Rattus norvegicus: one gene and its partner. Each later gene encodes a partner of the first gene's protein in a complex. Links are inferred from orthologs where the notes say so. Each region holds a gene or a part of one and is shown on either strand. Other genes may lie near its edges.

Region 1 (5,966 bases):
TTCAGGTGAGGGCTGTGTGCAGGATCTGCAGTCCATCAGGGACGGCTGGTCTAGCCTGCTGTGGGAGGTGGAAAGGAAGGTGACCTCCTGCCTGACCCCTGCTCCTCCCTACCCTTGTTCCTGACACAGAGTAGACAACAACCACTTGCTCCTACTCATGATTCACGTCTTTCGAGAAAATGAAGAACAGTTGTTCAAAGTAAGTCCCGGAACCAAACCGGGGAACCATCAAGCGGCACGGAAAGGCGGGTTGAGTCGCCCACACTGTTCAGTGCGCATGCGGGTCCCACGGGGCGGGAACTCAAGCTGATCACGGTTTGCCTCGGCCCCTAGATGATCCGGATGAGCACAGGGCACATGGAGGGTAACCTACAGCTGCTCTACGTGCTACTCACAGACTGCTATGTCTACCTGCTTCGGAAAGGTGCCTGCCACCCGATGCCAGGGTGGGTGGGGCCGGGCTCCTTCCCAACCCCCACCGTAGGCTTGAATTAATAACGAAGCGTCCGGAGGGAGGTATTGCTAGCTGGGCTGAGCACCCTGTCTGTCATTCTGCTACACCATCACTTCCTTTTGCAGGGCAAGAAGGGCTGGGTCTCTGAAAATGGGCCTGGGGGGGGTGTGGGGAGGGGCAAGAGGCCAGCGAGAGTAATAGGCATTCCGGTCTCCTCTCTCAGGGGCCACAGAAAAGCCATACCTGGTGGAAGAGGCTGTTTCTTACAATGAACTTGACTATGTGTCGGTGAGTGCAGGCTCTGCAGTTGGTGTGCCCACGGAAGTACAGGGCTTCTCAGGCTACCCCTGCCTAGAGCTGTAGCACGCAGGCGACAGGTGCCAACGTCTACAGAGGCTTCTGTACTTGTGCTGGAGACGGGAGTTAAGGGTGAAGATACCTCTTCCCGCACTAGATCTCTGACCATCTTCCCTAACTCATCCAGACCCTAGTCTTGGTCAGAGGCTTTAGTAGTGACCCCAAACATGCGGTTTCTCCCTTCCCAGTCCCAGCCAACCCTTAGTACGCACGCTCCTCCTGCCGGGCGGTGGCCAAGTCCTGTGTGTTTTCTGGCAGGTTGGCCTGGACCAACAGACTGTCAAGCTGGTGTGCACCAACCGCAGGAAGCAGTTTCTGCTGGACACGGCCGACGTGGCCCTGGCTGAGTGAGTGTCAGCCCCTGCCCCCCAACAGGACAGGAGAATCAGCATCTGCCATGGGCATGGCCCTGGCTGGGGGTAGAAGGAGACACCAATCTGTTCCCCCAAGAGCCTGCGGCCTGCTCAGAGAGGCAGGGAAGTGGACAGTCACTGACCGACTGACTCACGTCAGCTCAGGTGACCTCAGCCCCTCAGGACCCACGGAGAGGACGGGGGCTGGTGTGAGGTCCAACGGGAGGGGAGGCACAAGAGCTGGGCTGCTGTCCGGGTGTGTCCTGGACTACGGACATGGGGATCCCAAGTGAGAAGGTCATTTCTATTCCTATATTGGAGTGGTTGGATCCTACTGTCCAGCTGTCCGGGTAGCCTACTGTCAGAATCCAAGGCTACTTGGACATTAGGGATGGTCAGGCCTTTTCTGTCGTGCATGGCTCTGACCCCATCATTGCCTGCTGCTGCCCAGCACCCTCAGCCCCTATTTCTTGTGAGCTCTAATGGCCAGGCATTCTCAGGACAAAGCCAAGGACCTATCCCCAGGACCTGTCCTCTGACAGCAAACTGTGCTCCCCGAACAGGCTGTTCTTGGCGTCTCTGAAGTCAGCCATGATCAAAGGTTGCCGGGAACCACCCTACCCCAGCGTCTTGACTGATGCCACCATGGAGAGGCTGGCGCTGGCAAAATTTGTCGCCCAGGAATCCAAATGTGAGGTTAGTAGCTGGTGAGGAGACCCAGTGACACTCCACTGGCCTGCCCTGGTTTTAAGACTAACTTAGAAAAAAAAAAAAAAAAAAAAAAAAGACTAACTTAGTTACGCCCGAGGTGTTTCCCAGTCACCTCATGGGAAGTGGAACTGGGTTATGGGTAAGCTGAGGCTTGACCTCCGCTCTGCCAAGGCCTCACCTACTTGGTCTGTTGCCTCCACCCCCAGGCATCCACTGTGACCGTGCACTTCTACGGACTTGTACACTGGGAGGACCCCATGGAAGAGGCCCTGGGCCCTGTTCCTTGCCAGTGCTCACCCGCTGAGGGCACGATCACCAAAGAAGGCATGCTCCACTATAAGGCCAGCACCTCCTACCTGGGCAAAGAGCACTGGAAGGCCTGCTTCGTGGTGCTCAGGTGGGAGCCCCAGGAGCTGTGGGCCCAGGCAGGTGTCAAGTCCCTAGCGAGAAAGGCCCAAGGGCGGGTGCCCCCTTTTCCACCGCGCTGTGGGGTCACCCAGAGATATAGAGCTTCTCTATACAGCCACGCTCAGATGCCTTCCTCACCCCTCCATAGAAAGCGGGTCCCTGGTCCCCAGCCAGTATACAGGGAATTCCTGGGATCTCCTTAGCCAGGCCTCACTTCACTGTAACTGTGACCCTGTAGCAATGGGATCCTCTACCAGTATCCTGATCGCACTGACGTCATCCCCCTGCTCTCCGTGAACATGGGGTAAGTGTCCCAGGAGAAGGGAACTGTGCAGGTGTCATGACTGGGTGCCCTGCGTGGAGGTCAGCTATGACTGCGTCTGAAGCTTGCGGTTCCGTTCACCTCCTCACCTTATCCTGTAACCCTGACTAGTGCCTTGTGCTTTGCAAACTGTTAGGCGCTGGGGATGCCTGATGAACAAGGAGGTGCCCTTTAGCCTAGGAAAGGGAACCCTTTCCCAGGAATTCCAGCCAATGAGGGGCGGGCTGTGGAGGAAGTGGGCGGGCGGGCGGGCGGGCAGTGGTTCTGAGCAGGTGCAGTGAGTGGCTTTGTACTCTTTCCTCACCATTTTTGGGAACCCCAAGGGCTCTTGGTAATTCTGGAAATACTGGTTGTCAGATAGAGTGGCTCACTTCCAATCCAGTGTGGGATAGAAGCAGGAGGATCAGAAGTTCCAGGTCGTCCTCTACTATAGGGCTACGTCACACCCTGTCTTAAAAGAAAAAAAGGTGGGGGGGAGGCTGTTTTACACACACACACACACACACACACACACACACACACACACACAAACCCGTGGGCTAGCCAAGCATATGCAAATGTCCCTAGAGCCCAAGGCCCAGTGACTGCACACCTGCACACCCCTGCCCACCTTAGGGTCTCCCACTCCTGCCTCCGCCCTCCCATTTCACGCTCTTCCTCTGGCCCAGTGGGGAGCAGTGCGGTGGCTGCCGGAGATCCAACACCACGGATCGGCCCCACGCCTTCCAGGTCATTCTGGCTGACCGGCCTTGCCTGGAGCTAAGCGCCGACAGTGAGGCCGAGATGGCAGACTGGATGCAACATCTTTGCCAGGCCGTATCCAAAGGAGTAAGCCCATCTGCGCCCACCACCATCTGCCCAGCCTGGTCCGCCCCCACCCCAACCGCCACCACCACCAGGCGGCCGCCCCAACCGCCACCCCACCCCGACCACTACCCCACCCCCATGGCACCCCCATTAAACTACTGAGGTAGACTCTACAGGGGATTCCTGGTGCAGGCCACCCTGGAGAAGCAACCTGCCTCTCTCACCTTCTGCCAATGTCCAGGTCATACCCCAGGGCATAGCTCCCAGCCCCTGTATCCCTTGCTGTCTGGTGATCACGGAGGACCGCCTCTTCACATGCCACGAAGATTGCCAAACCAGCTTCTTCCGCTCCCTGGGCACAGCCAGACTGGCGGACATCACTGCTATCTCCACTGAGTTAGGCAAGGAGTACTGTGTCCTGGTGAGTGGGCAGGGACGGGCGCACAGGCTCTGCCGGAGGAAATCCCCGCATATTCACCTAGAATCTGCTGCTCCTAGGAGTTCTCCCAGGATAGCCCCCAGCTGCCGAAGCCCTGGGTCATCTACATGAGCTGCACTTCCGAGTTGGACCGGTTCCTGACCGCCCTGAGCTCTGGGTGGAAAGCCATCTACCAGGTACCAAGGGTTCTGAGGACAGCAATTTGTCACCAACTCTAGACAGACAGAAACTTAGAGCTAAAAAAAAAAAAGCAAGCTCCACTGTCAACAGGTCTGTCAAAACTAAAAATACCACCAGGAGCTGCCATTCCTGAGCTGAGTCCCAGTCACTGTGGGACTCTTGGCGGACCTGGTGAGATGTAAGACAGGCCCTTCCCCCTCCCAGAGCTGCAGGAGCAGCCCTGGAGAAGTAGCGACTTCTGTTTGGTTTGGTTTTAAAACAAGGTCTTACTATGCAGCTCTGGCTAGTCTTGAACTCACAGGGAAAAATCTATGTCTGGCTCCTGGGATCAAAGGCATGAGCCACCACACCCAGGGAGAGGTACTGCTTTATGCACGGTGCTCCCTGCACCCTGTCATTCTGGGGCAGCTTGAAACTGAGCTAGAAACTGAAAACAGTCATGGACAGATCCCCTCACCCAGTGAATCCCAAGTAGACCTGAGAGCTGGGCCTTGAGGTCTGTGTGCCGAGCAGAGGGGAAACTCACAACACGGAAGATGTCCCAAAGGGCTATGTGGGGAAAGCAGCCTGCAGCCCTTGTGCTTTCTGCTTGTCCATAACAGGTAGACCTTCCTCACAAGGCAATCCATGAAGCTTCCATCAAGCAGAAATTTGAAGATGCCCTGAGCCTCATCCACAGCGCCTGGCAGCGGAGCGACAGCCTCTGCCGCGGCAGGGCCTCCCGGGACCCCTGGTGCTGAGGCTGGGCAACCCTGTGGGCAGGCGGGAAGGAGGTGTGCTGACCAGCCTCTGCACTGTGGTGTGCCGCCATGGCGTTTCAGAGCCAGGGGCCAACAACCCACTCCTGCCTTGGGGTGGCAGAACCACTTAGTGTGGCTGGCGTGAGAGAGGAATTCAGTCAGTGCCTGGCACCACAGGCATCCTGCCCGATGGTAGTGACTAGAGGTCACTGGGGCAGACGGTCTGAGCCCTGTGGGCTCCGTAGACACTTGGTGTCCCCGGCCACCACTTTAGTCCTCACCATCTGCTCAGGGTGGCGGAGAGAAGGATAGTATCCGTTGAAGGGGGAGCAAAGAGACCAGGAGGATGGGCGTGCTGTCTTCCTCTCTTGGGTCAGGGGCCTGGGCGGATGGTCAGGGCCCCCTGGGGTCCTGAGTGCCCAGCCACCCTTGTTCGTTTTTGAACACTGTCCCCACTGCACAGGGAAACGTGAGCACTAGGTATCTGTGCATGCCCCCTCTCACGAATCCACCCCATGCACAGCAGCCTGTCTCGCACAGCCTGGGCCCAGCCGGCAGCTCTCCATGGCTAAAAGGGGCCCTGCATGTCCATAGCCCTGCCTTTCCTCTTCCTCAAGTACAGCAGAGCTCGTAGGACCACAGATCAGTTGTTCCTCTTGTCAGGAGCAAAAGACAAGGGCTGAGAGAGGGAGCAGAGTCCATGAGCACAGTGTCTTCTTTGACACCTGACAACCTACCCCTGCTTGGCCAGAGCTAGCCCTTCCTGAGGTCTCTATTAGGTCCCTTGAGGGACAGACAGGTCAGGTGGATTGGGTTTTGTTTTTTAAAATAAAATTGATGTTATATTGCTGAGACTTGTCCCTGACCCTCTTTCAGTGAGAGGTAGGTGGGGCTCTCAGTCTGGGTCACACACGCACACACGCACGCACGCACACACACGCACACACGCACACAAGAAGAATCAGCTCCAGGTTGGCCTAGGCTGTTCCATGGCACTGCTGCCTGGAGGAGAAAGTCCCTCGAAGTTCCTGTGCCTTCCGGTTTCCTACATGGCCACCACAAGAGGGAGCCTGGTGGCTTGGTTCTTAAGGAAAACTGAGAGAAACACCAGGATTACTCCTCTCCTCATGAGGGCCCGGTCACTCCATTCCATCCCACACAGGGACTCTGAAGTTTTGAGTGAAAATGGTTGGGG
Region 2 (5,966 bases), on another chromosome or scaffold:
GACATCCCCATGGCTCTTTGTTCTGGAAACTGCTTCTTTCCACCAAGGGCCTGTGCCTGGAACTCTTCCCTACCCACCAACAAGACACATCCTTCACATTCTACTCACCCTTCAGATCTCCATGATTCACCTTCCTCCTGCAGCTCTACCTATATAAATGTCTGCAATTCTTGGACACTTCTGTGCTTGTCTTCATACTGATTGATCACCAGACTGCACCATTAAACGCCCACTCAATCTCTCAATCTATTTCCCCCTTGGCATGTAGTATTCCCAGAACCAAGCACTGCTCTCACTACACAGTTTGGTGTCTATCAGGTTAAGGCATCTATGGACAGTATAATATCCAGGATCCAGCAGACAATGAGCAAAGGTGACCCTAGTCTTTGTGAACACACTCCAGAAAAGTGATTATTCTCCCACACAGAGATCTTTACATCAACACAGAACTTTTCCAGGCTGGCCTAGAACTCATAGCAATCCTGCCAGTTTCCCAAGTACAAGGATTACAGACATAAGCAACCTCACCAGGTGAGACAAACAATTCTTAACAAAAATACTTCAAATAATTGCTTCAGTGAGGAAATGCCATAAGCAGTAGAGAAAGATCTGAAAGATATATTCAATTTTACAATGTTGGAGCCATTCCTCTTAACCTTTACAAACAAACACATTTTACTAATTGCAAACATAATTATCTAGACTCACAGGCTGGGCTATGTAGCAAGATGCAGGCCTCCCTGAGATACAATGAAATCTGTCTCAAAAAAACAAAAAACTAAGCCAAAAAATATTGGGGGAGGGGAGAGTACTACAATTCCACTGAACGTACAGACTTCCCTTTGCTGAGGTTCCCTAAACAGCACAGTCAGCAACTATTACAGAGCACTTCTGCTACGTTACATATTATTAGTAATCCAAATGTAACTCAAAGAACATGAAAGAAGGTATGCAGTTTACATGTAAATACTATGCCATTTTCCACAAAGGACCTGAGAAGCCAGTATGGTGACAAACTACCATTATTCCAACACTTGGGAGGCTGAGGCAACAAAATCACATGTTCTAGGCCACCAGGGCCACATCATAAGGCTTAATCTCAAACAAGGATAAGAAAAGAAAAAAAAAAGAGAAGAGAAGAGAGAGAAAGGAAGGAAAGAAAAGAAAGGGTAAAGGGAAGCAAAAATCTTAAGGCTTCTATATTTGTGGAAATTTGGGATCCTAAAACCCATCTGTAGGGATATCAAGATTGACTCAATCCCAATGTTAAATATGTAACTGCAAATATAAAAAACAGAGTCTCCAAACTTACTGGGATTCCTTGTAACTGTGGCTTATCTAGAAGATTGTGCAGTTCATTTCGAGAGGCTTCTATCTTTTCTCGATCTGCAGCATCTATCATGTAACTTAAGAAGAAAGCAAAGTGATCTCAATATGCTATCACTATAGTCTCAATAAACTACAGTTATAGATTTTACATTTCTCAAGACTTACAATACTGAAGACTGCTGGTGAACAGACATTACAAAACAAATTCTTTGAAGAAAAGGGAGCAAAAGGAAACAACAACAAAAGAGGCAACAACTTACACAATTGCATTGACGCCTCTGCAATACCGCTCCCACATGCTCCGGAACCGGGGCTGCCCTCCTATGTCCCAGATCTGTGATGAAAACAAGGCAGTTCTTAATAAAGATACATCATAGTCATTGATGAGGAAATCACAAAGACCTGCTTGGACAAATATGATAAAGTGATGCTTAATCACTATTAGCCAATACAGGCCTAATCATGGATCCACACAACTTTAGGATAACAAGCTTAACATCTACAAAACCACACAACGTCCAGATGTGGATGTCAAAACAAAACAGCAGCTTGTCTACTAAAGGTGAAGCGCATCATTTTGAATTGCTCTGTAAGTACCAGAGTCAACATTCCTTCCCTTAGAATTTCCCATAAAAATATCACTGTTCGGCCTGCTCTATTAGGCACTGTGCTATATATGGTTACATAAAACTCATGAAGACTGTTGTCAAAAGAGCCACAGAGAACTTAGCAAGCACATCTGTCAACAAGAACTGGGTAAAATGGTCTCTGGTTCAGGCTAGAGGCCTAAACTCGTAGAATTACAGAATGAAAGTAAGAGCTACAAGAAAAAGTTAAATCCCCTAACAGGAACTAAAAAGAAATTATACTAAAAATGAGCTATACTTTTTACACCTATTTTGGTTTCCACTTTAAGCTTAATAATGAAGAAAAAACTGAGTTACAATATCTACTACCAGAAATATACTGAGCTAAAATTAATGTAAGTAATTACCAACTTTCAATATAAAACATTACTCAGGCAGAACATGGGACTGTTATTTTCTGGAACTCTCAAGATATGTTACTTCTACTAACCCATATGGTAAGTTGACTTTTAAGGGCTTCTACAGTTAATCTCTTAAACACTTTAACCTATCAGAAAACATCAATAACTGATCTACAGTCTTTCAAAACATGTCATCCATTACTGGCAATTGTAAGTAGCAGGTAAAAGCAGAGAAAACAGAAATTTTTCTGATTACAATTTAAATCAATTATAAAAAGGACAATACATAACACACATGCATGCATGCATATATACATATAGACACATACATATGAATGCATACAACATACATGTAAAGTATAAGAATCCAACATACCTTTATTGTGACGTTACCTTTAGTTACTTTCCTCATGTTGAAGCCCACGGTGGGTATCATATCTTCACTGAATTGACCAGACTAAACAAAATAAAACATTTTAAATTAGATTAATTAATAATAAAGAATCATAACATTATATAATCTTCTAGTTATCAATATTGCATTTGTATCTATTTTTAAAATGGAAACATCTGATTTTTAAAAGGGTATTTTGGAACCAGGGAAGCACTTGCTAAATGGGCCTGGAAACCTGAGGTCCAATCTCAGAACCCACATAAAGGTGAAAGGTGAGGAATGACTCCCCAAAGTTCTTCTCTGACCTCCACATATGCACTTTGGTAAGCATACTACACACATACATACATACATACATACATACATACACACACACACACACACACACACACTACTAATAAGTGAATAAAAAAATATATTATTTTGAGGCAGACAGTACATCTCACATCTGTAATCCCAGAAGGAGGAGTGCTAAGGCAGAACAGCCACAGGTTTAAGAGCTGCCTGGCCTGGGCAACACCCCGTCTCAAAAGAAGGGCATTTTGGAAATGTACTGGTATTTCTTATAGATGTTCCTAAATTGAAAAGGGAAACTTTTGCCAAACACAGTAATATATATACCTTTGTGTCACAGGCATGTGTCTGTGAGTTCAAGGTCAGCCTATTCTCAACAGCCATCTCTAGGCCAAATAGGTCTATATATAAATAGAAATTGTGGGGGTTGGGGATTTAGCTCAGCGGTAGAGCACTTGCCTAGCAAGCGCAAGGCCCTGGGTTCGGTCCCCAGCTCCAAAAAAAAAAGAAAAAGAAAAAAAAAAAAAGAAAGTGTGAGGGGCAGCTGGGGAAACAGCTCAGCGCCTAAGAGCACTGCCTGCTCTTCCAGGCGGCCCAAGTTTGATTCCCAGAACCCACAGGGCAGCTCATAACCGTCTGTAACGTCATTCGGTCCCAAGGATTTGACGCCCTCTTTTGGTGCGTGTGAGCGCTATATGCATATGGTAGAGATACATTCTTGCTGGCAAAATACCCACACGCATAAAAGAAATCTTTTAAATGCAGAAGAGTTTTTACAGTATGACATGAAAATTTACAAATTCTCACTTCTCCACACATTTTCACAAAGAAATGAGAAGTCAAGAGGAAAACTTTATAGTTTTTTCTTCGGTAGCTAAACTGCTTTGGCAATAAATGTTAAAACTTAATGCTGAAACAAACAGTTCTGAGAAAAAATACTGAAGAGTAGATTATTTCAGTTTGTCTCTAATAGAACTAATAAAATGCACTTTAATTTAGAACTTCATTTTATGAATCAATCAATTTGTTCCCTTTTTGGCTTAATTTTAGTATCTGTGTTAAGACTAAAATTAGATGCTTTACAATAGTTTTATTAATATTTTACATTCAAAATGCTTATCCGGGGCCAGCAAGACAGCTCAGCGGGTATAGGCGCTTACCAACAAGCTTGAGAGAAAGCAGAGTTTTTTGTGAGTCATCTGAACACACACATGCATGTCATGGTACGCATACACATGCATGCAAACACTCAACACATAAATAAATGGAATACTTAATACTCCTCTCTTTGGAATTTGATTATGTACTTTCAGAAAGTTTCTATTTTCAACTGGACGACCAATAACCATTATATCTCACTGCTTTTAAATCTACCCTTTCCTAATTAGAAACGGCATGCTAAACATCATACAGAGAAAAATAAACATCTGGGTCCTCATTTTTTCCCATTATTGTGTATTTCTGAATAAACAGTAGATTTGTGTTGTAATATTACAATGTATCAAAGATTAAAAATTTAGAATGGTTTCAAATTGTCTTGATTCATCTCCCACATTCCAAAGAAATCTTACAAATTAGTAACTTTGTTAACACATCAGTCAGAATTATTGCTACCCTTTGTCAGTGTTCAGTATTTAATGGCTACCAAATCACTCCACAAAGCACCTGATTTACCCACTGGGTTATTATTCTAATCTTTTACAGCTTCTATACACTGTCATATTACTCAGGAGTCTCACATTCCACACCATATCCTCTGAACCACGGTCAATGCTAAATGGATGTGTTTCTATCCTAGACACTTTACCGACTAGAAGCTTTCTCAGTTGAACTTCCGAACTGGTCAACATGGTGCTGGTTAAACAACAGGACTACTCTCAAGAGACAACTCAAGCAAGTAAGATTTTTTTTTTCCTGTGAGGCCCCAACACTGGTTTATTGTGTACTGTGACTTTATGTCACCCACACCAGCATTCTATACTTTTAAGTTCTCAGCAACACGGACTCCAACTTTACAAATTCATTTCCTGTGCAGAACTCAGAAAGTTTTTTTTGTTTTGTTTTGGTTTCCTGTCAGTTCAGCAGTGTTCTGTTTGATCTAGAAAGTAAAAATTTAAGTAACTGAAATCATTACTTTCGAATATATACAACATCACTCTCGGAATTTTCACATAATATATGTTTGCTTGAAATAGTCTCACTAAATAGTTCCAGCTGACCCTAAACTTATGCAAATACTCCTGCCTCTCTCTACCTCCCAAAAGCTGGAATTACAGTCATAGAACTCTACATTCAGTCCATACAAATTACACATTAAAAAAAAAATCTAGTGCTAGTTGGGCCATGGTGGCATACGCCTTTAACCCCAGCACTTGAGAGGCAGAGGCAGTAGGATCTCTTTGAGTTCAAGGCTAGCCTGATCTATGCAGAAAGCAGCCAGAGCTACAAAATGATCCACTATCTCACAAACAACAAAACCTAGTGCTATCAAAATGATAGCATGATGTGCGACACACACATAAGCCCATGAAAAGATGTTTTACATCACTAGTCATTAGGGAAACACATTTTAAAACAAAGATAGTGTTGTAAAACATTAAGACAGCTACTAAGAAAATAAAGTTTAAAATTCAGAAAAGAAGTGTTTCTAGGCTGGATGTAAATACACCTGTAATCCCATCTTGACTTGGAAGCTAAGGCAGTAGAATCACAAATGTAAGGCCAAAGACTGAACTACACAGGTGGATCCTGTCTGAAAAACAGAAAGGAAGGTTGCAAAGAAGCTGAAACCTTTGCTGTGTACAGAGGGCAGGAGACTGTGTTACACAGCTGCTAGCAGAAACAGTGTGGGGCTCTTCAAAAGCCAACAATGGATCTCTGACATGCTACAGTCAGGATGCAGCTCGTGTCCCTAGAATTCATGTTCAAAGTTTGACCCCATAGTGGCACTACAATGTGGGG

Evidence for each region. The genes of interacting proteins can lie anywhere in the genome.
Region 2: the proteins of Plekhm2 (region 1) and Arl8b are in contact, whole or in part, in a crystal structure (PDB 8JCA), measured with the Homo sapiens proteins. The link is inferred for Rattus norvegicus from reciprocal best matches to the Homo sapiens genes PLEKHM2 and ARL8B. Residues at the interface, in NP_055979.2 of Homo sapiens: His70, Phe71, Thr72, Arg73, Arg74, Glu75, Glu103, Ser105, Glu107, Ser108, Tyr109, Arg111, Leu112, Glu115, Glu147, Phe148; in NP_060654.1 of Homo sapiens: Glu22, Thr52, Val53, Gly54, Phe55, Asn56, Met57, Lys68, Trp70, Arg77, Phe78, Arg84, Tyr85, Arg87, Gly88, Val89.

Annotation. Positions count from the first base shown.
Region 1 is NC_086023.1:159,222,277-159,228,242, reverse strand, and holds the end of Plekhm2 (pleckstrin homology domain-containing family M member 2), read left to right. Parts: coding exon 1-5; intron 6-129; coding exon 130-199; intron 200-333; coding exon 334-424; intron 425-677; coding exon 678-742; intron 743-1,069; coding exon 1,070-1,158; intron 1,159-1,727; coding exon 1,728-1,860; intron 1,861-2,081; coding exon 2,082-2,272; intron 2,273-2,521; coding exon 2,522-2,587; intron 2,588-3,273; coding exon 3,274-3,433; intron 3,434-3,653; coding exon 3,654-3,833; intron 3,834-3,910; coding exon 3,911-4,027; intron 4,028-4,633; coding exon 4,634-4,771; 3' UTR 4,772-4,943; downstream 4,944-5,966. UniProt on the Homo sapiens protein: Plays a role in lysosomes movement and localization at the cell periphery acting as an effector of ARL8B.
Region 2 is NC_086022.1:143,334,480-143,340,445, reverse strand, and holds part of Arl8b (ADP-ribosylation factor-like protein 8B), read right to left. Parts: intron 2,775-5,966; coding exon 2,694-2,774; intron 1,664-2,693; coding exon 1,590-1,663; intron 1,407-1,589; coding exon 1,313-1,406; intron 1-1,312. UniProt on the Homo sapiens protein: Small GTPase which cycles between active GTP-bound and inactive GDP-bound states.